Linked DNA regions of Alligator mississippiensis. The protein of the gene in region 1 binds, or shares a complex with, the protein of each later gene. Links are inferred from orthologs where the notes say so. Each region holds a gene or a part of one and is shown in the gene's direction. Other genes may lie near its edges.

Region 1 (7,119 bases):
ACTAACTCAGAGATGTACAGTATAAGCTATGCATGTAAAGGAGGTGGCCCATGGAACAGACATGGCATACAGAGGCACATCATCCACCCCCAGTACTGCCCCTGGGTCTGGAGTTGATTCACAAAGCTCACATGGCATGCACCAGATCAGCCCTGCACCACACAGGGTGCCAGTTCTACCTGGCCTGGCACCTGCACTGCATGTGGGCCTGCCTTAGCCAGTCCAGGCCATGCAACATACATGGCACCTGCTCTGGCCAGTCTAGGACATGCACAGTGCCTACCCCAGCCAGCCTGGGACACACACGGCACACAGCACCCACTCCAGCCATTCTGGGACCTGCGCTGTACGTAGCACCCCCTGGCTACTCCAGTGTAGGCACCACAAGCAGCATGAGCCCCAGACTGGCAGGAGTTCAATAAGAACAGGTGCAAACTCCTGCACTTAGGACAGAACAAGTCAATGCACGACTACAGACTGGGGACCAACTGGCTAAGGAGCAGCTCTGCAGAACAGGACCTGGGGGTTACAGTGGACAATAAGCTGAATATGAGCCAACATTGTGCGAAGGAGGCTAACAGCATACTGGCCTGCGTTAGTAAGAGTATTGCCAGCAGATGGAGGGAAGTGATTACAGGCAGTTCTCCGACTTAGGACACAATTGGTTCCTGAAAGCCACAGCTTAAATTGAAACGTTGTAACTTGGAACCAATTTTCTCATAAGAAACAATGTTATAAATGGGGGATTGGTTCCTGAACCAAAGCTCGATACCCTATTTTCACCAAAAATACCCCAGAATTGTGTACTTGATCAACTATAGATGAGTCATATAGCTACATGAATGCATTTATATTGTAAATAGCAATCATATTGATTTGGAAGGACTTCTTTGAGGTGACTTTCCTGGACTTTTTGAAGGGCTCTCGGTTGGACTTTTTGAAGTGCTCTTGGCTGGAGTCTTCTCAGGAGTCTTGGCTCCAGGTTTTTCTGGAGTCTTGTCTGCTTTCTTAAAGAAACTGTCCAAGGCAGTTTGGACAGATGTTCTCCAGGGAGACAGATGACACAGTGAACTTGTTCGCTGGTGTGTCGTCACATCGGATCAAGCATTGTAAAATCAAAACTTACATCAGAAAGTTGAAACATGGTGTCAATTTATAAACGTTGTAAGTGTGAAACATTGTAACTTGCAATGTTGTAAGCCGAGGACTGCCTGTAGTCCACTCTATTTGGCACTGGTGAGGCCACATCTGGAGTACTGTGTCCAGTTGTGGGCCCCTTACTACAGAAAAGATGTGGACAAATTCAAGAGCAGAGGGCAACAAAAACGGTGAGGGGGCTGGGGGACATGGCTTATGAGGAGAGGCTGAGGGAACTGGGCTTATTGAGTCTAGAGAAGAAAGACGGAGGAAGCAACCACAACGAGCGGTGGCAGCAGTGGCAGCCCCAGCATGGGCTCCAGGTCCTGCTTTTCTCACCACTGCTGCTGCCACTGCTCCTCATCATGGCCAGGGTGGGCAGGTCTGGTCTGGAGCAGGTACTGCAGGGAACCTGAACCCTCACACAGGCTGGGGCCGGGGCTGGGGCCAGGGCCAAGACAGTGCACTTGGATCTGGGGCTCAGGCCCTGCCTGTGCTGGCCTCCATGGGGCCAGGGCTGCCAACAGCAGCTGGAAGGAGCCACTGCTGCCGCTGCCAAATCTGCACCCAGCCACTACCACCGAAGCCAGGCATCAGCTCCAGTCACTCCACTGGGCAGAAGGGCAGTGCTGGTGGCAGTAGTAGGGTGACCACCTGCCCCTAATTGGGCAGGACAGTCCCAGAATGGGAACCTCAAGTCCTGGTCCCAGGCTGTCCCAGATTCACAGCATCATGCAGGGATCCACAGGAAATGGCGTATTTCCCTGCAGGCTGGCAGCATTCCAGCCTGCGAGGGGCTGCTTGGGGCTGCTGGGAGCAGGATGCAGGTGGTGCCACATGCATGTGTATGCCCACACACATGGCTGGGAAATACAGCTGGGAAGCATGGAAAGCAGCTCCCTGCAGGTAAGTCAGGGAGGGTTTATGGGGAGGAGAGAAGGTATGGAGGGATGGGGTGTAGATCGAGGCCTCCGTGGTGAGGAAGCGAGTGGGATGGGGCTGGGGGCACTGCCCAGCTAGGGCAGTGCATAGAGTAGGACACAGCCACGGGCAGCTCATCCAGGGGGCACAGGGCATGGGAGGGGGGCAGCTCCCCACTGCTACATGCTGTTCTGGGGGGGGGAGAGCATGGGAGGCACGTGCCTCCCAGATGTGTGTGCAGGGCAGGGGTGGATACAGGCTGCCTGCTGTAAGCTTGTGGCTGCCTGTCCTGCTGTCCTCCCCACAGGGAGACCCCACCGCCATGGCAACACTCCCCCCAGGCAGCAGTGGGGATGGCAGAGGTGTGGAGTTGGATCCCTTGCTGCTGCTGGACAAGCAGGGGGGGTATGGCTGGCATGGGGCTCCTGAGAGGGCAGCAGGGCTGCCCGGAGCCCACAGCACACAACCTGTATCTGCCCCCCTGCTCCATTTTGCTCTGCTCTGGCTCTGCCACCAGCGAGGAGGTGGAGGGGAAGGTGGGAATGTGCCCTGCCTTTGCATTTTAAAAACATGGTCCCTCTAGGTGGTGGGGGTCTAGACACAGAGGCGACAGTCAGTGGTGGCTCCTTCTTGCTGCCATTGCTTCTGGCTCCATGGACACTAGTACAGGCTGAGCCTGAGCCCTGGGCTGAGTGTGCCACCCTGGCCACGGCGTGCCGTGTGTGGGGTTCGGGGTCCCTGCAGCGCTCTCCCTGGACCTGCCCACTCTGGCCCCAATGAACAGCAGTGGCGGCAACCATAAAATGTAAGACCTGGAGCTCGTGCCAGTGGGACCCACTGCCCTGCAGCTCCTCCCCATCACTGCTGCAGCCACCAGCGCCACCTCTGGGCCACGCCAGGCTCCTGCACTCAGTGGGGTGAAGGCGCAGGGCAGCCCTGGCACCTATACCAGCTCCCTGCCCACCTGCAGCCCCATTCCACATAGGGAGGTTTGGGGAGCAATTGTGTGTGTGTGTGGGGGGGGGGGGTGACCCAGCCCACAACAGAGTTTTAGGGAGCTATATGGCCCATGGGCCCAAATATTTGCCTACCCAGGCTAGGCTGTCCTCAGTGATGGCAGATGACAGAACAAGGAGCACCAGAGTCAAGCTGCAGCAAGGGAAGTTTAGGTTAGATATTAGGGAAAATGTCCTTACTAGGAGGGCAGTAAAGCACTGAAGCAGGTTACCCAGACAGCTGGTGAGATCTCCATCCCAGGAGGTTTTTAAGACCCAGGTAGACACCGCATTGGCTGAAATGATCTAGTTGGGAAAGCCCTGATGTGAACAGGGGGTTAAACTACGGTTCACCCTCATTTTCGATGATACCAGTGGGCGCCGTAGGCAGCTCGTGTCACACCAGCCCTGCCCGGGCACCGCATGTGGCACCGTCCCAGACAGGCTGGAGATGGCACCACAGCGGGGCACGTCCGCGGGCTGCATCGGGGCTGGCTACTGCCACGCATCCTGCCCGGGAACAGCACTCACCCAGCCCCGCGGAAAAGCCGGGCTCCCGAACTGGCTGCAAGTGGGGGCTGCGGGCCGCAACCGCACCGCCCCCTGGGGGGCCGCTCCCATCCCAGTGAGCACGGCCCCAACCCCGTGTCGGTGGCCAGGCTGCGGGGCCCTCGGGGAGGGGGGCGCAACGCGGATCCTGGGCAGGCCCCGCACGGGGTGGGGGGGGGGGCGACCCCGCCCTGCCGCAGCCCGGCCGAGCCGCCCCCCGCAGCGCAACGCAGCGCGCACCCTCGCAGCCCGCAGAGGGAGGGAGTGGGCGGGCCGGGACGGAGGTCGCTCGCGGCTGCGCGCGCCGGTGCCGGCGGCAGTTGGTGTGGCCGCTCCCCACCCCCCCCGTGGGGGCGTCGGAGGGGAGCGGGGCGGGGCGGGTACAGGCGCGCGTGCGCACGCGCTCCCTCGCTGTTGCCATGGCCCCGCTTGACGTCACGAGCAGTGCGTTGCGGCGCGGTGATTGGCGGAGCCCCCGTGTGTGGCGCTGGGAGCGAGGCTGCAGCGAGCGAGCCGCGATACAGGCACAGTCCGCGCCGCCGCCCGCCCGCACCGCGCCCGCCCGCCCCCGGCCTCCTGCCGCAGGTAACGGGCCTGCGCCCCCCCCCCCCACCGCTTCCCCTGGGGCGGCCCAGGCGGGGAGCAGCGCCCCCCACCCTCCAGCGGGCGGCTCCCCGGGTCGGGTCCAGTTGCTGAGGCGGGAGCTGCTCCGCGGCGTGGCGGGTGGGGGTTCGCTGCGCTGCGCTGCGGGGACCCGGCGGGTGGGGGCCGGGGCCGGGTGGGGGCAGGTGAGGCGAGGCAGCGCCGCGCCCTTGCCTGGCGAAGGGGGGGCTGTGGCCGGGCGGCCCCGCCCTGCAGCGGTGGGGCCGGGCCGGGGAGCGGCTTCCCGTGGGCCGGGCGGGGCGGAGGTGAGGGGGATGGAGGCGCCGGCAGGCTGAGCTGGGCGCGGCGCGGCGCCGCCATGACAAAGGAGCCGGGCGCGGCGCTTCGCCTCTCGCAACCGGGCGGATGCGGGAAGGGAAGGGCCAGGCCCGGCTCGGCTGCAGGCTCGCCCCCGCGCCGCTGCGGAGAGCGCGGCCAGCACCATTTTATGCCGGCGGGCGGGGCCGTGGCGGGGCGGTGGCAGCCCCCTCCCCCGTCAGAGCCGAGCGCCACGGGCCCTGCCCTGCCCTGCCCTGCCCTGCGCTGCCGCACGGCTCCGGGCGCAGCGGCGGCATCCGCTGCCTCCCTTGCTCCCACCCGCCCCGCGTGAAACCCGGCCCCAAAATGGCTTCTTCCCACCCTTCTCCCTGCGCGGGCAAGGCCGCGGCGCCGCGGGCTCCGCGCACCCGCCTCCGCCCAGCCCCGCAGTCGGGAAAGAGGCTCGTGAGAATCGGTAATACACGAGCCCGAGGGCAGGACTGAAGGGAGTGTGTTGCTCAGGTGGATACGAAGGTCTCGAGGAACCTCCCAGTATATTTTTAGGCTTTAAAAATAAATGAAGGCACTAGTCACTAGGGGTTGATGAAATAGGGTGGGGGGAAGGGGTCAACCTCTGATCTTTCCTGACATGAAAAAGAGTCAGGTTGGCTCCCAAGTGCTGAAAAGCCCCCCTGGGGTGCAGATCCCTAAGGAGACCTGAGGAAGGATGACTTGCTTTTAAAAGCTTGTCCAGCGTTATCCCAGCTGCCTCACTGGTGCAAGAAAAGACAGTCACCCTAAGAAATATTTTATCCCTAGGTTGTCATTTTAGCCAGCAAAAGATGTTTCTGATGTGTTAGGCTGGATTTTAGTGGGGCTGTACAGATAGAGGTAATACTAACTTTGTCCACCAAGCCTTCACTACTGAGGCTGAGGAGCACAACTTGGATGAGAAGCTCATCCCACTGATCCTCTAGGGAAAGAGTTAACATTCCTAAAAGGGCAGGATCCTTAGTGCGAATGAAACCCCTACATTCAAAGTAGTTAACAACCTTTAAAAAAAAAAAACAACCTTTAGAGCTTTATAACATGAGAGTGAAGGCTTTTCCTCCGGCCTTTTTGTTTGGCCCTCTGAGCAGCACAAAATTGCTTTCCCCAGGTCTTTAATCATTGGCATGATGAAATGGACAAACTTCAGCTTTCTCCCAAGCCACATCATGAAGAGAACTAGGACTGATTGAGGGAGAGGAAACGATCAGAATTATGTACAGCACAGAAAAGGTGTGCCTTCAGCATTCGGAAAGTTATCTCTGCAACAATAAAGACTAGAAACATCAATTAATAGTCTGAATTTTTAGAAACAAGCAAATCAAAGTCTTCAAGTCATGACAAAAAACATTGAGAAATCCTAAAAGCTGACAATCGGGAATATTACAACTTAACTACTCTAGAGAAATCTTGCTTTAGATATGAGGCTAAAAATGTCTTTGTCCTTGATAAATGTTTGAATAATGCCTTCCTATTTTTCCTTCTCAGAAAAATCAGCATGGATAAAAATGAGCTGGTGCAGAAGGCCAAACTGGCTGAGCAGGCTGAGAGATATGATGACATGGCAAGCTGCATGAAGTCTGTGACTGAGCAAGGAGCTGAGTTGTCCAATGAGGAGAGGAATCTTCTCTCTGTTGCTTACAAAAATGTTGTAGGAGCCCGTAGGTCATCTTGGAGAGTAGTCTCAAGTATTGAACAAAAAACGGAAGGTGCTGAGAAAAAGCAGCAGATGGCCCGAGAATACAGAGAGAAAATTGAGACTGAGCTAAGGGACATCTGCAATGATGTGCTGGTGAGAACTAACAAAACTGTTAAACTGTTGATTTAATATTGCAGGGTAAATGATATTAACCCCATTAAACTGACATTTAATCTAAACTGAAAATTGAGGCCTGTGATATCAAGTCTTTAATCTTTTTCTATACCAGTTAAAAAAAACAAACTAAGACAAGTGGGTGACTTTTTCCTCTTCCCCTTAATGAATTTGGTAATTAGTTCTCATGGACATCTACTAACATTGTCAAATCTTAAATATAAATAAACTCTGAAAATTCATAGGTTGCTTTATTGTAGGATGTATATTTGTGAATAAGCAAATATGGGTTCATTCACAGATAATGACTGTGTTCATAAAAGCTTTGGGCGTGGTTTCTCCAAGAACCGTGTTGTCCACAACTTAGTTCGTTTCTGGCATCTTAATATACTGTGCTGCTTGTAAGAGGTAATTCACACTATGGAAATTGTGCCCCTCCCTGGTTTAGATGATGTAATGTTAGTTATGACTCAGCCATGCAGAAAATCCTCTGCAGGAGGAGGCAGTGGCAGTACTGCTGATTCCCTCTTGCAGTTAATAGTTCTTTAGTGGTAAACTATAGTAAAGGTAGCCTGAGAGTTAAACTAGTCTTGTGGCTTACAGAACATACTGTGGCTTGTTGAATGATAATTGAAAAATGCTTGGGTTTTAAACTAATTGGGGGATGGGAGGGAGTCAAAGGGGAGGGCGGGACTTTTCAAGTATGCAATAGTACACTCCTACAAGTTCACCGTTTACTGGGTGTTTGTCTTCCTG
Region 2 (7,126 bases), on another chromosome or scaffold:
GGAGACTCCAATGACATCTAAGCTGATGTTCCTCTTGTAACAGCAGCTGATCAATATAAATGAGATGCAGATAATGGCTTGGAATTTCCTCAAGCAGACAGCAGTAACTTTAGGCCAGTATTGAAAGGGGACAGGCTGAGCTGGAAGCTGGAGGTGCAATTCTCTCTATCCTAGTACCAGCCTCTTTGAGCTGTGCTATATCCCTCCATGGGTCTTCTGATTCTTAAGCAACTTCCAGCTCTCAGTAACAGTCTCTAAGCCAGAGTTAATCATTGCAGAGGAAATGAAGTAGAGATAAGATTTAAGAAAATGCGCTGTTTTCTCCATATATTAAGTATTTGTATTAGGATTCCCTATTATTATCTGCACTCTGCTAATTAGCCTAAGAACCAGTCCTAGATCAAAGTAAACAGATAGCTGAAAAAGAGCCCCAAAGAGCTCACGGTGTAAGATACTTCATTATGTTTTAAATGGTTACCTCCTTCAAAATAGTATCGCTTGTACAGAACCAGGTACCATGGAGTCCTGAGCCCAGCAGAAGTGTTTAGCACAGTGGGGAGCTGGGGGAAAGGTGGATGTGTGGAGCAAAGGAGGGAGAGAAGGAAAGGAGGGCAGGAACTGGTGAAAAGCAGAAAGGAGGCAATAGGTCAAGAGCTGGAAAGGAGAGGAGGGAAAGCACGTCCTGCTCATGCAAGTGGCTGTAACCGGACCCCAGGGCACATCGCTGAGGTTTTACACGAGTTAAATTTAGTACCAAACGCCCTGATCAGCAGAACAGGTTCCCGGAGGGGATGCAGTTGGACTCAAGGGAGGTTGCATCATGCTTAAAACAGGCAGAGCCAAGTGGCTAGCCATGCTGACTGGGGGCGCGGCAGGGGAGCAGTCTTTTCACTGGCTCTTCTCTCCCAGGCTGGACCCAGCCCCCAAGAGCGAGATAGCAGCTTCCCTGCTAGCAGATGGTCAAAAGATCTACTGGGAGGAAGAGAAATAGGCCAGGTGACACCCACGCGGTCTGACTGGTGCTGATCAGGGGAACTGCCATGCTGGACATGCTGTATGATCTGTGTCACTGGGCCCAATGGGGGCTGATGCCAAATGCTGCTGAGCACAAACGTAACACATCTAAAAGAAGAGGGACTTTCTCTGAGGGTCACGCAGTCAAGTGCCACAGCTCGAGTCCAAAGCAGGGTTGGGTGTGGCATAGGGTGGGGACCAGAGTAGCCAACTGGGGTGCTGGAAGGGAAGATCAGAGCCTTCTTTGCCAGGAAGGAGGGGTAAAGGTTTGGTAAAAGGAAAGGGTTAGAATGCTTGTCACAGGGGGGGAAGGGATGCAACTTGTCTTTTTCCCCCCCAAATTCTATACCTGCCAGGTCAGACACTTGCCAGAGTGACTTGGCAGCCAAACAAAGTACAGACTTCCACAATGAGACATGGGGTGAGCCAAGATCTGGGGTCTGGGTGGAGTCTGCCCATGGCACCAGACAATTCCCAGCTCCACCCTTCTCTGCACCCACTTGTTCCCTCCCTCCTTCCCCCCCACAAAAGCATCTCACTGCAAAATGCCTTTCCCTCATTCAGGAGCTCCAGGGTGATCTCACCCTGCTCCTGGACAACTGGCTAGGGATACTGTTGGAATAACACAATATGATCCAAGGGGCTGAACACTACTGCCCCTGCCCTCCACCACCAGCACAGGAAGAGCGAACACCAACACTCTCTCTTGGCAGTGCACCATACAATCTGCCGGCTGCTGAGCCAGGACAGAGTGAACACTCTGAACAGCCTGGTTCACTGCTCTGCCTGTGGGCTGGTTTCCCACCTACAGGTCCAGACTCGTCTATTAGTGACATCTGCATATGTAAGGGGAAAAAAGCAGCGCAGGGGGTGGGGAAATGGTAGCTATCCAGTTTACCTTATGAACTCTGAAGCCCTGTAGACCTGGTTCCACTATGAACGAGCTAATACCAAAGGAATTGTATGATTTCAACTGAGATCCTCTTGACTCTCAGCAACAAGGCAACAGGAGAATCATGCCTTTACACCTGACCCAAGTAAGGCTCTTCTTGCGCAGAAATAGCATAAGGGCATGAGGATTTCAGCACAGGCCTGAGGGTACAAACAGTGACTCTGCCAGTGAAATACAAGCCAGCTGGCAATCCCATTTAAACATCATAAACTGATGTCATGCTGGTCCCAAAGGTATTTTAGGTTCCTTCTAGGACTGCATTTAAAAATAAGACAGTGCCCCACATGTGTGGAACCACACTCAGCAAGACTCCAGGAGCCAAAGCTCTGAGAAAAGAACCAAATTCAGCACAACACTTAAGCTAAAAAAAACCCAAAGTAGCAATAATAGCCTGTATCCTGCACAGAAGCAACACTGCCTGATGGGACCTGTTCCCCACGTACCAAATGGCTGACAACCAGCATGTGCAGTATTTGAATAGGGATTAAGATACTGTCATCAGGCTTCTGCCACGTGACTTTCTTGTCCTTAAGCAAGTGCTTTTTGCAGCCTACATAAAATGTCTTTACCCTTCTCCTTGGAAGTATAGATTCTTATACCAGCACCCTCATCACATAGCATCTGAGCAACTTGTTGTGCAGGAAGGGACAGGACTCATCTGTCATATGAAACGCCCAGGAGCTTGTTGAGGGGGTTTTATTAGATGTTTGTAATTGCTCTGCATTCCTATTAAAAGAAGGTAGATCAAAAATTGCACCTTTTACATCCAAGTGGATTGGGACGGTCCTTGTTTTTTTCTCAGGGAATTTGCTCCACGGTCCCTAAGCAGCCCCTGAGAAAGCTCTGTCTCCAGACATGTTTTATCCTTGCAGCAGAAAGATCCATTATGCTGGAGAAAGAGGACCGTTGACTCGTCTCCATCCTGGAGTTTCTAGGAAATATCAAGACTTGCTGCGCTTAGGCCGCTGAAAACCCCGAAGGCGGCTCGGTACTTGTGAAGGAAGCCAGTGCAGAAAGCAGAAGGGAGCACGAGCGTGACGATCTCCCCGTAGTCCAGATGCTCTACGGTGTGCTGGACTAGCTGGCACTTCCTGAAGGCAGATGTCTTCCTGCCCAGGTCAAGTGCACAGCTGTCGTCCAGATGGGAGCGTGCAAGTGACCAACGTCTGCCTAACCCAGGCCCGGTCATCAGAAAGCAGGACTTGCAGAGAAAGTCTCGCCCGCACCAAGAGCTCTCCAAGGCCGTGAGCTGAGCGGCCCCACGGCAGGCAGGTGCTTTCCGCCGCCGGCGGCTGCGCTGGATCAAACCTGCCTCCGGAAGCGCTTCCCCCTGCCTGGTAGAGGATCGTAGCCTGGCTACGATCAAGATGGAGGGGTGGGGGCTTCTTGCCCAGGAAGACGCCCCCACCTCCACCCCCGGGCTGGGGGCAGACGGGCAAGGAGCAACCCCAGCCTGAGGTGAGGCTAAAGTTGGTTGCTTATGCCCAGTTCCTTTTCCAAAACTAATCTAGACCCAATAAAAGCTTGCTATTAAGTAATTACACATCCTAAACAATGAGCAGTTCATTAGCTATGCATATTTTACATATTGATGTGTAAAATAATATTCTGCCTCCGGTCCCTGAGGTGGCCCAGCCTAGGCCAGAGGCCTGGGGCTAGGTAAAGTGCGTATGCCTGTACTGAGGAGGTCTTCCTGGACAAAAAGCCCCCTCCCCTTTAGGACACCTGCTCCTAAGGACCCCCTATGTCTACCTCGCTCAGCTAACCCCACATCCCCCTCCCCCTTGCCCTTTAACCCCTGCCCTTTGCCCCCTCACCCCCCACTCCACTCCACTCCAGTCTCCTCAGCGCAAGCCCCACCCCCGCACCAAGCTCCCACCCCCACCCGCCGCCGCCGGAGAGGGGCGGGCTCTAAATACAACCCGCCAATGGGCAGCGGGCAATCCGACTCGCCCGCCCTTACCATCCGCCGGCGGGCCAATCCGCGAGGGCGGGGACGCCGCGGCGGCCAATGGAAGCGCACGTCGGTCGCTAGGGAGGCGTGAGGCCCTGGAGAGGGGAGGGCGGCGGGTGCCGGGGGGAGGGAGGTAAACAAAATGGCGGCGGCGTGCTAGCGGCAGCGGGGGCGAGGCGGCGCGGGGCGCTCCGAAGTGAGGAGGGGGCGGGAAGCGCGGAGCCCCCCCTGGCAGGGCGTGGGGGCGAAGCGAGACCCCTCCCCGGGGCGGGGCAGGGCAGTGGGGTGGGGGTCTCCTGTGCTGGCCTTGCTGGGGGGGGGGGCAAGGGGTCAGCTTCGGGTGAGGGGCGGCCCCTCAGCAGCTTGGGAGGGGGGGCTGCCTCATGAGGGGTCATGACCCTCATTTCGGGGTCGGGGCGCGGTGTGAGCCGGTTCCGTGTCTCCCAGGTCAGCGAGCTCTGGAGCCGCGGCGGCGACGCATCATGTGTCAGGCGGCATCGGAGCGGCTGAAGGATGCCCCCGGGAGCTCTCGGTAGGCCCGGGAGGCCTGCAGCATTCGCCAGGAGGGACCGCGAGGCGGCGAGGATCGGTCTCGAAAACGCCTTCGAGGAAACCTGGTTCCAGCTGCCCAACGGCTGAGGGGCGCCGCCGGGCCGGCGGGCGAGCGGAAACCAGCCCCGCGGGGGCCATGACCCGCCGGTAATGGAAAGTCACGAAAGAGACTCGTTCGTCTTCTCGTGGGTTTGACGTCTGGGATCCCAGAGGATGACCTAGCACTTAAGCATCAAAACTGGGCCAAATCGAAGGCCAAGAGTTGACCTGATTGAGCCCGAGTAGCGGGACCGGGTCAAAAGGTGAAATCAATAAATCCCGAACTGAAAAATTCAGACATTGGGAAAAAAATAAATAAAACAGCAAGAAAGAGAGCGCGTTGTTGGGGCCAGACTCTGGATCTTATCGGACCCTGTCGAGCTTACGAGCAGCTGATGGTTCTTTTTTTTGTTCGTTGGTTTTTGGGTTTTGGTTTGTTTTTTTTTTAATTAATGTTCGTACAATCTTATGGATAATTTTTTTCGAGGAGTCAAAGGGAGTGTCGGGAGCTAAAAAGAACTGGATTAAAATCTTAAGGGCTGAGGCAAGTGGGTTACAGAACTGAATCCAGGATGGATATGCAAGAGCCCCAACAGCTGAGTATGTTTGCAGACAGTGAGCTGATGTCTGTGGGGATGGACACTTTTATCCATCGCATCGACTCCACCGAGGTCATTTACCAGCCGCGGCGCAAAAGGGCCAAGCTTATTGGCAAATACCTGATGGGGGACTTACTCGGAGAAGGGTCTTACGGCAAAGTCAAGGAGATGTTGGACTCTGAAACCCTCTGTAGAAGGGCTGTCAAAATCCTGAAGAAGAAGAAGCTACGCAGGATCCCTAATGGGGAGGCAAATGTTAAAAAGTGAGTATGGGTTCCTGCGGCTAGTTGCAACAGGGTTAAATCCGGTCAGTGTTTTCTGGCTGAGAGTCCGTATTGTTTTATTCAACACCGCATGTAGCCATATGTTTTGAAAGGACTTTACAAGCCACATACATGCAGGAATTGCTTCACCTCTGAAATGCAGCCAATTCTGAGTTGGAGGGTAACTCTCTTAAATACTGCTGAACAGGGGGGGTACAGGAAAAGGAAACCTTTTATTCCCAAGGACATGGGGAGCAAATATATCCACTTCTACAAGCAGCACAATGTTCTGGGCCGTCAGGCATTGCTGCGAAGCAGGGAGAACCCCTCTTTCTGCAATTTCATCCAAGAGGCACACAGTAAACAGTGTTGTGCTTAGTTGCCCTAACAAGGCAGGGTGAAAGGTTGCCTGCTGCAGAGGAAGAATAAACTTTGCATTGCTGCTGTGTGCATGCGATACTTCATGGGCCTCTGCTGGGAAGTCTTGCGTTCCAGGCAGTTATTCCATGGGTGGCAGCGTGAGCCAGTGCGTTGGGAGACTTGGGCTCTATTCCTAGTTATGCTATTGACCAGCCTGACCTTGGGAAGTCCCTTAATCTGCCTTGGTCAATTTTTTTTTTTAGCTGTGAAGTGGAGGTAATGATGCTTCTCTCTTGGGGAAGTGAATTTGTGGTTGAAGAGTGCTTTGAGTGCTAAGTCATGTATTGGTAAACAAGTTCCGCATCCAGATAACTCCCAATTCAAACGCCTTATTGGGATAAACTGGTTCTGTGCTTCAGTCAGAAGTACAGTTCATTTTTGACATTCCCTTTCCTTGATGTTACATGTGCAGGGGCTCTACAGGCAACTGCATTTGCCACAGCAAGCGGCCACAGCAAGCCATGTGAGATTGGGTTGTTTGTCTGATGCGAAGGGGACACTTCTGCTGCCAAAACAAATAGTTTTCTGCAGCTTATCTCGTGGCAGGAGGAAAACTTGGGAGATGTTTCCAAGTCTCCTGTGACGTTTCTGGAGTTGCCTCTTTGCCTGCGGCATGCTGAGTGCAGAGCCCTGACCTCGTGGGCTCTTGTTTCTGTTTTTCTGTTTTGGTTTGGGTTGTTGAGGTCAGCTGGCCAGTGCTTTGCATCCTGTGCTGGGGCCTTCCATTGGTTAGCTTTTCAAGTTTACCTTCTAACCTTGAGAGTGCAGGATGGACGGGCTTTGCTCCAGTGTTACGACAAAATCACGACAGGGCATCTCGTCTCTCTAGTGCTGGCTCTGATTTTTATAAAAGTAAACTGCTGGTTAATGTGTAATAAAACATTTTTTTTTTCTTCTTCTGGTAGAGGCACATGTGTCACTTTGTTCCCTTCTCTTTCTTTCTCTGGTCTCCAGTGACACCCAGGGCTTCCCCCAAAAAAGGGAAAGCTGCTTTCCCCTGAATTGTTCCCCTAAAAGCCCACCCCCTCCCAGTGAAACAGAATTCTTGGAATTAACCTGTCAGCTTTGTGATGCAGAAAGCATGAAGTGGTCCTGTGTCCTGAAATAAACTACGTAGAAATATCATCTGTATCCTCTTAATTTTACTGTCCTTAGCCATTCTGTGGATGTGTCTCACCTCATTTAGTTACCACAGCAGTTGAACCAGAAGATATTTAATTTCTGTGATCACTCTGGGTTGCTTATTCAGCAGTACCTGACTATTAGAGTTCTTTGGATCTGTGGCTGTAGTATTTGAAGCAGGCTTTTTCTTTAGCCTTCTAGCAGTGGTCTA
Region 3 (7,534 bases), on another chromosome or scaffold:
AGGGACTTCAAGGACAGGACTGGGATTGCCCTCGACAGGGGTGAAGGTGAGATCCCGTCCATGTTCAGTGCCAAATCAGCAGTGTGAACTTTTCCCTGTTGCACACGGAGCGAGGCAGGGGTGACTGGTGTGACTCCAGGTGTGGTCAATCTTATCTTGGAATAAGAGTGGCATTTCCTGGTGTAATTTGCATCACTTGGAAAGGGGACTTCCACCCACACAGCTGTGGAGGTAGGAGTCATCCCAGCATTGCTGGGCCTTGGGCATGGCCAGTGGGGCAGTGACAATGGCGAGGTGGTTCTGACCAAGCCCACGTTGGCGGAGAGACACAGTGTGAACAGAAAAGAGTGACAAGAGGTGACAATGCTCTGCTGGGCCCATTTGTGCTGCAGGCAAATGACTCCTTGGCTACACTGCTTGTGCCATAAATAAAGCAACAATTGCATATTGTGATGCAAATTGCTTGGTGGTAAAGCCCTGCTGCCATCAAGTCTGTGTGTGAAAGCACATGTGGAACTGGTGTCTTTCTGGACTCTGGTTACGTGCTCCTCCAGAGGAATGCCAAGCCTACCCACGCTGCCTTATTGGAAAGAATTAAAGCAAAGACCTAAAGCAAAGGGGCATGCCACATCTGGCCTGTCTTTGCGGGGGGTTTCTTTTTCGGTGTAGTTTTCTAGCTGCCAGATTCCTTAGGTGAATTGCAAAGAGTTTTTCAGAGACCTTCAGAGCCTAAATAGCCACTGGACCTTTCTAAAATGAGCCACAAACACCCTCTCGAAAGCCACGACAGTGCTACAGTGTCACCCCCCTCGTGTGCATTGTCAGGGGCATCTATGTGGATCAAATAATATATAGGGTGGCTGGAGAGAGAGAAGACAGGCAGGGTCTGCAGCATGGCAGGGCTCTGTGTGCTCTGTCATGGAATAATTATTACAGGGCCTTGTCTTTTTTTCGCCAGCCTCCCAAGAAGCTGTTGTACTCCTGGAGCACACACGTCGGCTCTGTCCAGGTCATCAGCTGTGTTACCTGATGCACCCACCGGTCTCTGCACTGCAGTCGCAGCTGGGCGGGCGGGCCCGGAGGAGAGGGGTTTTCTGAAGAAACAGAACGTAATGCTCCCGAAAGACAGTGAGTCCTTCCCTCCTACAGCTGCCCTGTGCGTTTTTCCTTGTGAGCAATAAAGACAATCCTGGTGCATAACTGCAGTGTGTGAAATAGGGTTAGTCACAGGACTTCCGGGCACAGCGGCACGTAAACAAGCTTTCCCCACTTCCCTCTTATGAAAGTTTAAGTCTGCTCCACTGCTCCGGCTTCTTTTCTTCTCTTTCTCTACCAGCCCCCTGACTCCCATTTATGTCTGATTCAGCCTAGCAAACATTTTACCCTGTGGCAATCTTTTCTAATGGAGCAGGAAGAGCAGCCTCTGGAGCGCACTCCTGACACATCCCTTGGGTTTTCTTTCTGGCTCTCTGGTTTGCTGCTCTTGCTCCTCATTCACATTAAGAAAGAAGAAACCAATGGCCCATGCAATCAGCAGCTCATTATCAGTGAATGGGGATGGGGCTTTGTGAGACTTCCTCTTTTTCTTTATTTCCCTTTCTCACTCATACATGCCACGAGGTTTAATCTTTGCAATGGCAGTTTCCTGGACTGTGTGTACACAGCTCCTCGCTGGCCTGCCTCGGCAGGGAATTGTGGACGTGCCTCCCTCACTGTGACACACATTTTAATGACTGATCTATTAACCTGCCCAGCAGCTAAGGAAGTACGAGCGCTCGTCCAGACGCAGGTGCATCGAGCTTTGCATATTTTATAGACGCGGGCTTCTAGACCACAGGTCGTGCTGTTGCTTTCCCCACTGAACCTCGGCGTTCTGGCCTTCCACGCCTGGCTCCTTCTCGGAGCTCAGGAATCAAAAGAATGCACGCAGCCGTTGGACAGGCCAGCGAGAGATGCTGAAGCAAAGCCAGGAGAGAAGGGTGCTACCAAGCGATTTGGTTTTCAGTGCACATCTTCATCAGCGGAAAAAAAAATGACATAAAATAATGGATACCCAACCCGTCAGGCCCAGTGGACCCCTGTAGACTTTACTGGACCCTCCATGCAGCTCTCTTTGCAAAGGTGTTGTATTGCATTCACCCAAAGGAGCTGGGGCTCCTCCAGCCGGATTCCACTGGCCCAGGAGATGCCTTCTCTGCCTGCTTTGCTCACATGGGCCCCAAGGACCGTCCATGGGGCAGCTCCTTGTCCCATGCAGGGCTCCAGCGACAGCAATAGATGGCCATGGATCTGCAGGGGTCTGCACACAAAGGCCCTAGCCTAGCAGACCCTTCCCTCTGCAGACAGCCTGCAGTGGTTTTGTGTTCCTGCCCTGAAGATGCATTGCCTGGCTTCTCACCGCAGTCAGGAAGCCCTTTGGTTGTATTACTTGCAGGCTCAGTGCCTAGCAGCTGGTTTATGAGGCTCCTTTCATCTCTTATTTTTAAAAGAAAGACAATAGGAACTTCTGGGCTGCCTGTTTCCCCTGTTGTGTTATGAAGTTAGCAAATTTCTCCTCCTCCTCTTGGGAATCGCTTCATCTCTCCTTCCCCACTCCAGTTCCTTGCTGTCCCTGAAGCGTTGGCTGCAGCCGTGTTGGTCTAAGGACACAGGCAGACAAGGTTCTTTGGGTAGATGTGATATCTTTTATAGACCAACTAAGTAGTTGGAAAAATTGTTCTTTGCAAGCTTTTGGGTTCAAACACCCTTCTTCAGGCAGAGGGAGAGTCTCTGAGGCACCTTGAGGGGCTCTGGTTTTCCCCTGCTCTGCTTCCCTCCCCTTGGAGGCCAGGTGTCATAGCCAAAATCTGCTTATCGGCTGCTTTCCTTTCCATCAGTCTAGTCAAAGAGAGACTAGTGCTAAACCTGTGCTAAACCTGCGCTAAACCTGTGCCTCTCACAGTACAGTGGCTTCAGGACATTTTTCCTATGAGCTGTGCTCTATTTGCCCCTTGTGCACAAGCTCCTTGTTAACAACCGAGTAAACTTCTTTTTAACAGCCATCTCTTTCCCCTTGGAAGCTCTCAATGAGGGGCCTGTTTTTGCTAATCACTGCTGGGAGGAAGATCAGTCACACCTAAGACAAAAATGGTTCTGTTCCCTCTCTCAGGAATGCCCTGGGTTTCCTTCTTTAAGGGGTCTTGGGTAACAGCCCACCCTGTGAAAATGTTTGCAGGGTTTTAAAAGCCCAGGGCTCCAGGTTAGTCACCTGGAACGTAGAAAGCCAGTCCCCTGTTGAGCACAGAACAAGTCCCTTTAGTGAAACGAACATAAAGCTAGAAACACTCTTGTCAGTGAGTTGAAGAGGTCAGTTGTTAGTTCGTGACTAAATACACAGAAGAGAACAGGTCTGATGAGGAAGAAGACATCCATCCTTAAGCGACTGGGGTTTTTTCAGAGTGGAAAAGCATACTTCAGTCTGTTTTGCCAGCAGGCTCCCCTCCTTATCATCACCTGCTGGGTGCGGAAACAATTCTTTTGTTTTCCCCACTGATCTCCCAAAAAATGTTGAGTCCTGTAGGGTTGTTGGTTGCAGCCGTGTTGATCTAAGGACGCAGGCAGACAAGGGTCTTTGGGTAGATGTGATATCTTTTATTAGACCAACTAAATAACGAGGAAAATGTGTTCTTTGCAAGAAGGGTGTTTGTGCCCAAAAGCTTGCAAGGTGCTCCCAGGGGTGTAGGTTGTAGCCGTGTTGGTCTAAGGACACAGGTAGACAAGGATCTTCGGGTAAATCTGATATCTTTTATTAGATCAACTCAAAAAAAGCGCAAAGCGTTCCTATGCACTTAAGTAATCATGGGCTTGATAGGCAGATGAGTGATGTTTGTTGCAGTATAAGTGCTAGGCAACAGATCAGGACCAGTCTCCTGTTATGCAGTTGAGAGGAGGAGGATGTGTTTATCTGATAGGCATGTAAAAGGATTATATTGTATGCAGGAGTCTCCTCATCTCTTTATGGCCTGTGTGGGGTCACTGAAGAGGTAACAGATTTCTCAGCCATGTTCTCCCGGTTGAAATCTCATGTCCCTCCTTTAAGGAACCGTTGCCTTCCTGAGCAGTGCCGTCCACGCTCCGCCAGCACAGAAACGGCTTTCTCAGCCTGTTTTCAACAGGTAGGGATAGCCCGGATTTGCCAGGCAGCCCTTGGAGTTCTGCCCATACTTTTTGTGAGCGCCGTTGCCATGATACAGAACGTAGAGCAGATGTTTATTTCAACAGAGATGTCTTTAATTCCTTCTCAACGTTTTTCTCAGGCTGCCATCGTGTGCGAATACTTCTCTGTAGGAGCCAACTGCAGCCCGGGCCCAAGAGCAGAGCCTGATTCAGAAGGAAACGGAGGGTTGGAGGTGTGTAGAGGAGAGGTCAAGACAGACAGCCAAGCCTGCTGGAAGTTTCTGAGCGCCCACGTTTGGTAGGGATGGTAAGGAGCTGAGGGAGCCTCGACCAAAATGTTTTCTGGAAAACTAGCGGCATTATAGCGGTTAATGAAAAGCAATCCCCCTTCCACTCTACTTGGGCTTCAATTTTTTTTTTCTTCCCTTCCTTCCCCCCTCCTATACCTTTCTTTCCTTAACGCAAATAATCCAGCCCTTTTCTGTGTGGTCCATTACCTGGAAGTAACCCTGTGTAACAGGCTGTGATAGGCCAGAAATGCCTTAATTGTACTGACAGCAATAGAGACAGGATGCTAAAAATGTAGGGGTAGGCGTTGCACTTTCCTCCGCCCTTCGTGGGGTACTTACTCCTGTCAGGGACTGTCAAGAGCTCTCATTCCTAGGTGCATGGTTTCCCTTTGTCTTTGTTCCCTTTCTTTTCTCTCCTTAGTGCTCCTAGTTTTCTCCCTGCTTTCTTCTTCCTTCTCTTCTCTCATTTTTCATCTCTATTTTTAACTGCTGCTGCCTCCCTCCGGGCTCATCTGCCCTTTTTTCCCCTCTAGGCTCTTATCTGCCTTGTCTTCTTCCTGCAGGAGTGGATCAGCGTTCCTACCCGCTGGATCGCAGGCAGACAACCATCTCTCGGAGAAAAGCACTGTTACACTGCTGCTCTGCTTCTGCATGTGGGTATGGGTTGGTATGTGGGAGAAATCCCACTTGGAAGTGGTGCCTTCCTGGAATGGGTGCTTTTTTAGCATAGGAATTCTGCTTCGAGCCAGCTTCCTGTTGCTGCTGCCTTATATAGAAATGTTTTATCATTCTATAAATACAGTATGTGTTTTATTAAAAAAGAAGACAGAAATGGATATGCAGGAACAAAATGCTGGAGGAATAACGGTGAGTGGCAGGGCCTCTCGCAGACTTCCTCCACCCCTTCCACTGCTGTGGTCAAGCTATTTTTGTATTCCACGAAAGAGCGCTCTGCTGAAACTTCAGGTTCCTTCTTAAAAGGAAATTGGAAGAGGGGAAGGGTCTGTTTTAAAACTAGAAAATAAAGTTGTAAGCAGGAATGAGACTATAACAATTTTAAGCTGAGAACCTCAAATCTCTAGATTTCCCATCTCTAAATTCCCATTGGATTGCATAGTACAGGTTTGGGCCTAAATTAACTAAGATTCCCAGTGAAGGATATCCTGTAAATACTGCCTTCAGTTTACAGCTGGGCATGCAATAGCTCAGAAAGGATAAGTGAATTGGCCAAGGCCATACAACAAATTAGTGGGAGAGCCAGGCACAGAAACCTGGAGCCCTGGCTTCCAATACTGTGTGTAACATCCTGTGTGCACAACCACTGCAGAAGGGAACTTAATGCAAAAAAGAAGAAAAAGACTTCTTGCGAAAAAAAAAAAAGGCCCTTGTTAATTTGGTAGCTCTTTTATTAAACCTCTACTGCATGTCACAAAAATGTTGGGATCTATCAGCTATGTTGTTAATGTAGTTTGGCACGGATTATACCGTGGACATGGGTGTCAGGAAAGGGCAATTCTGCATGCCTATGCTGAGAAACCCCATTTTGTTGTTGTGGCGCAACCTATCCATTTGTTTCCTGAAGTTTGAAGCTGAATCCTTGATGTCCTGCACTATTTGTTTGATTCGAGTTAAACTGCAATTCAAAGAAAGACGTTAGTGCATATCTACAACCAGCCTACTGAAATCATCTAGCATTAATTAAGCTTTTGTTAATGTGCTGTACCCAGAGTGGGTGTGTATTGTTGTTCCAGTCACACTCAGAGCATTCCCTCCCTACCAAGGCTGTTCAGAACATGAGACACAGATATTAATAAGATGCCTTTGGGCAGTGGCTTTATCTAGTTTCTGACCTTTTTGTAATGAATTTAATCTACAGAAGATTAGCTTAAGACAGATACTGTATTAAAATACATAATTCATGGCAGTACGGATACTCTTGTGATGAAGGTGAATAGTACTGGGTAAGTATACCATTGAACTTCTGGTCTGGTAATTCTCTTTGTCACAGGTTTAGTCACCGTACTGAATCACCCCAGTCTTTTCCCTCTCCACCTTCTTTATCTGTAATATAGCATGCCTGAATAAGGTCAATACACAGCTTTTTTCCTGCTAAAAAGACAGTCGTTTGTGACAAAGAAAACCTCTCAGGAAAAGAAAACTGAGAATTTGGCACAAGCTTATTTGCTGGAGCGGGTATAAATGCCTGTTTGTTTTATTATAGGCAGAGCTACCTAAAGCAACTTGACATCTCTTGTTTTAAACCCTGTTTTCAGTTGCCTATATCTTTGCCAAATTTGAAGCATTTGGGTTGAAATTATCCATTGTGGGTATCTGCCTCGAGCTGATATATATTTTTTATTTATTTAAGTTTCAGCTAAAATGGCTCAGCTGTTGCTCAGAGCGAGGCTGGGAGAAAAAAAAAAGAAGTTGTATTGCAATTGTTAGAAAACCACATCTTTTATAGGCATTCTATTGAGAAACTCTTACCCTTCACCTTCCCCTCCCTGGCTATGGTTTGGAGCAGGGATGTGAAATTTAGGAGACATCTCCCTGGTGTCAGAAGCATGCCTTTTGCTGTCTTTATGAAACCTGCCCTGATTAGCACCAACCAGACCTTGGAAAATCATAGCTCGCCCATGCTCAATTGAGTCTTGTTGGAGTTCCTAAATTCTGTCTGCAGTGATCATGCCTCACAGATGAAATGAGCATGCTCAAGAGCTGCAGGGGCTGAGCAGGATTTTCCTTTGATTGTTCTTCATGGGGCTGCTGTAGCATGGGGCACCCGGGCTGAGAACAGGGAGACCGTCTCTGCTGAACTCTCGGGAGTTTTGCAGCCTGTTCGCAAAGAGCTACTCGTAAGCAAGGGTAATTGGTCATAGGATCATGAGTTGTCACATCAGGTAGAACCAGGAGCACGTTTAGGTTTGTTATTTTGTCTTCTACATTAAGCAGAATTAAATGCTTTAAAAGATGTAAGAAACATTTCAAGTATGGAACAACTTGTCTCCAGGAAAAAAAATGCTTCCTTACCTCCATTAGTTGGAAGCCAATTGATGCCCCGAAGCAGGCAGGATTGTATCCCTCCCAAA

Evidence for each region. Proteins that work in one complex are often made in the same cells at the same time.
Region 2: the proteins of YWHAZ (region 1) and STK11 are in contact, whole or in part, in a crystal structure (PDB 5WXN), measured with the Homo sapiens proteins. The link is inferred for Alligator mississippiensis from reciprocal best matches to the Homo sapiens genes YWHAZ and STK11. Residues at the interface, in NP_001129171.1 of Homo sapiens: Asn42, Ser45, Val46, Lys49, Asn50, Arg56, Arg60, Phe117, Lys120, Arg127, Tyr128, His164, Pro165, Ile166, Gly169, Leu172, Asn173, Val176, Tyr179, Glu180, Asp213, Ile217, Leu220, Asn224, Leu227, Trp228; in NP_000446.1 of Homo sapiens: Trp332, Arg333, Ser334, Met335, Thr336, Val337, Val338, Pro339, Tyr340, Leu341.
Region 3: the proteins of YWHAZ (region 1) and STK26 are in contact, whole or in part, in a crystal structure (PDB 5XY9), measured with the Homo sapiens proteins. The link is inferred for Alligator mississippiensis from reciprocal best matches to the Homo sapiens genes YWHAZ and STK26. Residues at the interface, in NP_001129171.1 of Homo sapiens: Lys49, Asn50, Gly53, Ala54, Arg56, Arg60, Lys120, Arg127, Tyr128, Leu172, Asn173, Val176, Tyr179, Glu180, Asp213, Leu216, Ile217, Leu220, Asp223, Asn224, Leu227, Trp228; in NP_057626.2 of Homo sapiens: Arg316, Glu317, Asn318, Asn319, Thr320, His321, Pro322, Glu323, Trp324, Ser325.

What each region holds. Positions count from the first base shown.
Region 1 is NC_081826.1:38,283,276-38,290,394, forward strand, and holds the start of YWHAZ (14-3-3 protein zeta/delta), read left to right. Parts: upstream 1-4,076; 5' UTR 4,077-4,187; intron 4,188-6,038; 5' UTR 6,039-6,048; coding exon 6,049-6,342; intron 6,343-7,119.
Region 2 is NC_081839.1:2,851,547-2,858,672, reverse strand, and holds the start of STK11 (serine/threonine-protein kinase STK11), read left to right. Parts: upstream 1-4,036; 5' UTR 4,037-4,053; exon of another isoform or gene 4,054-4,116; intron 4,117-4,367; 5' UTR 4,368-5,083; coding exon 5,084-5,373; intron 5,374-7,126. UniProt on the Homo sapiens protein: Tumor suppressor serine/threonine-protein kinase that controls the activity of AMP-activated protein kinase (AMPK) family members, thereby playing a role in various processes such as cell metabolism, cell polarity, apoptosis and DNA damage response.
Region 3 is NC_081831.1:81,457,207-81,464,740, reverse strand, and holds the start of STK26 (serine/threonine-protein kinase 26), read left to right. Parts: upstream 1-4,444; 5' UTR 4,445-4,459; coding exon 4,460-4,462; exon of another isoform or gene 4,463-5,008; coding exon 5,009-5,098; exon of another isoform or gene 5,099-6,078; intron 6,079-7,475; exon of another isoform or gene 7,476-7,534. UniProt on the Homo sapiens protein: Serine/threonine-protein kinase that acts as a mediator of cell growth. Modulates apoptosis. In association with STK24 negatively regulates Golgi reorientation in polarized cell migration upon RHO activation.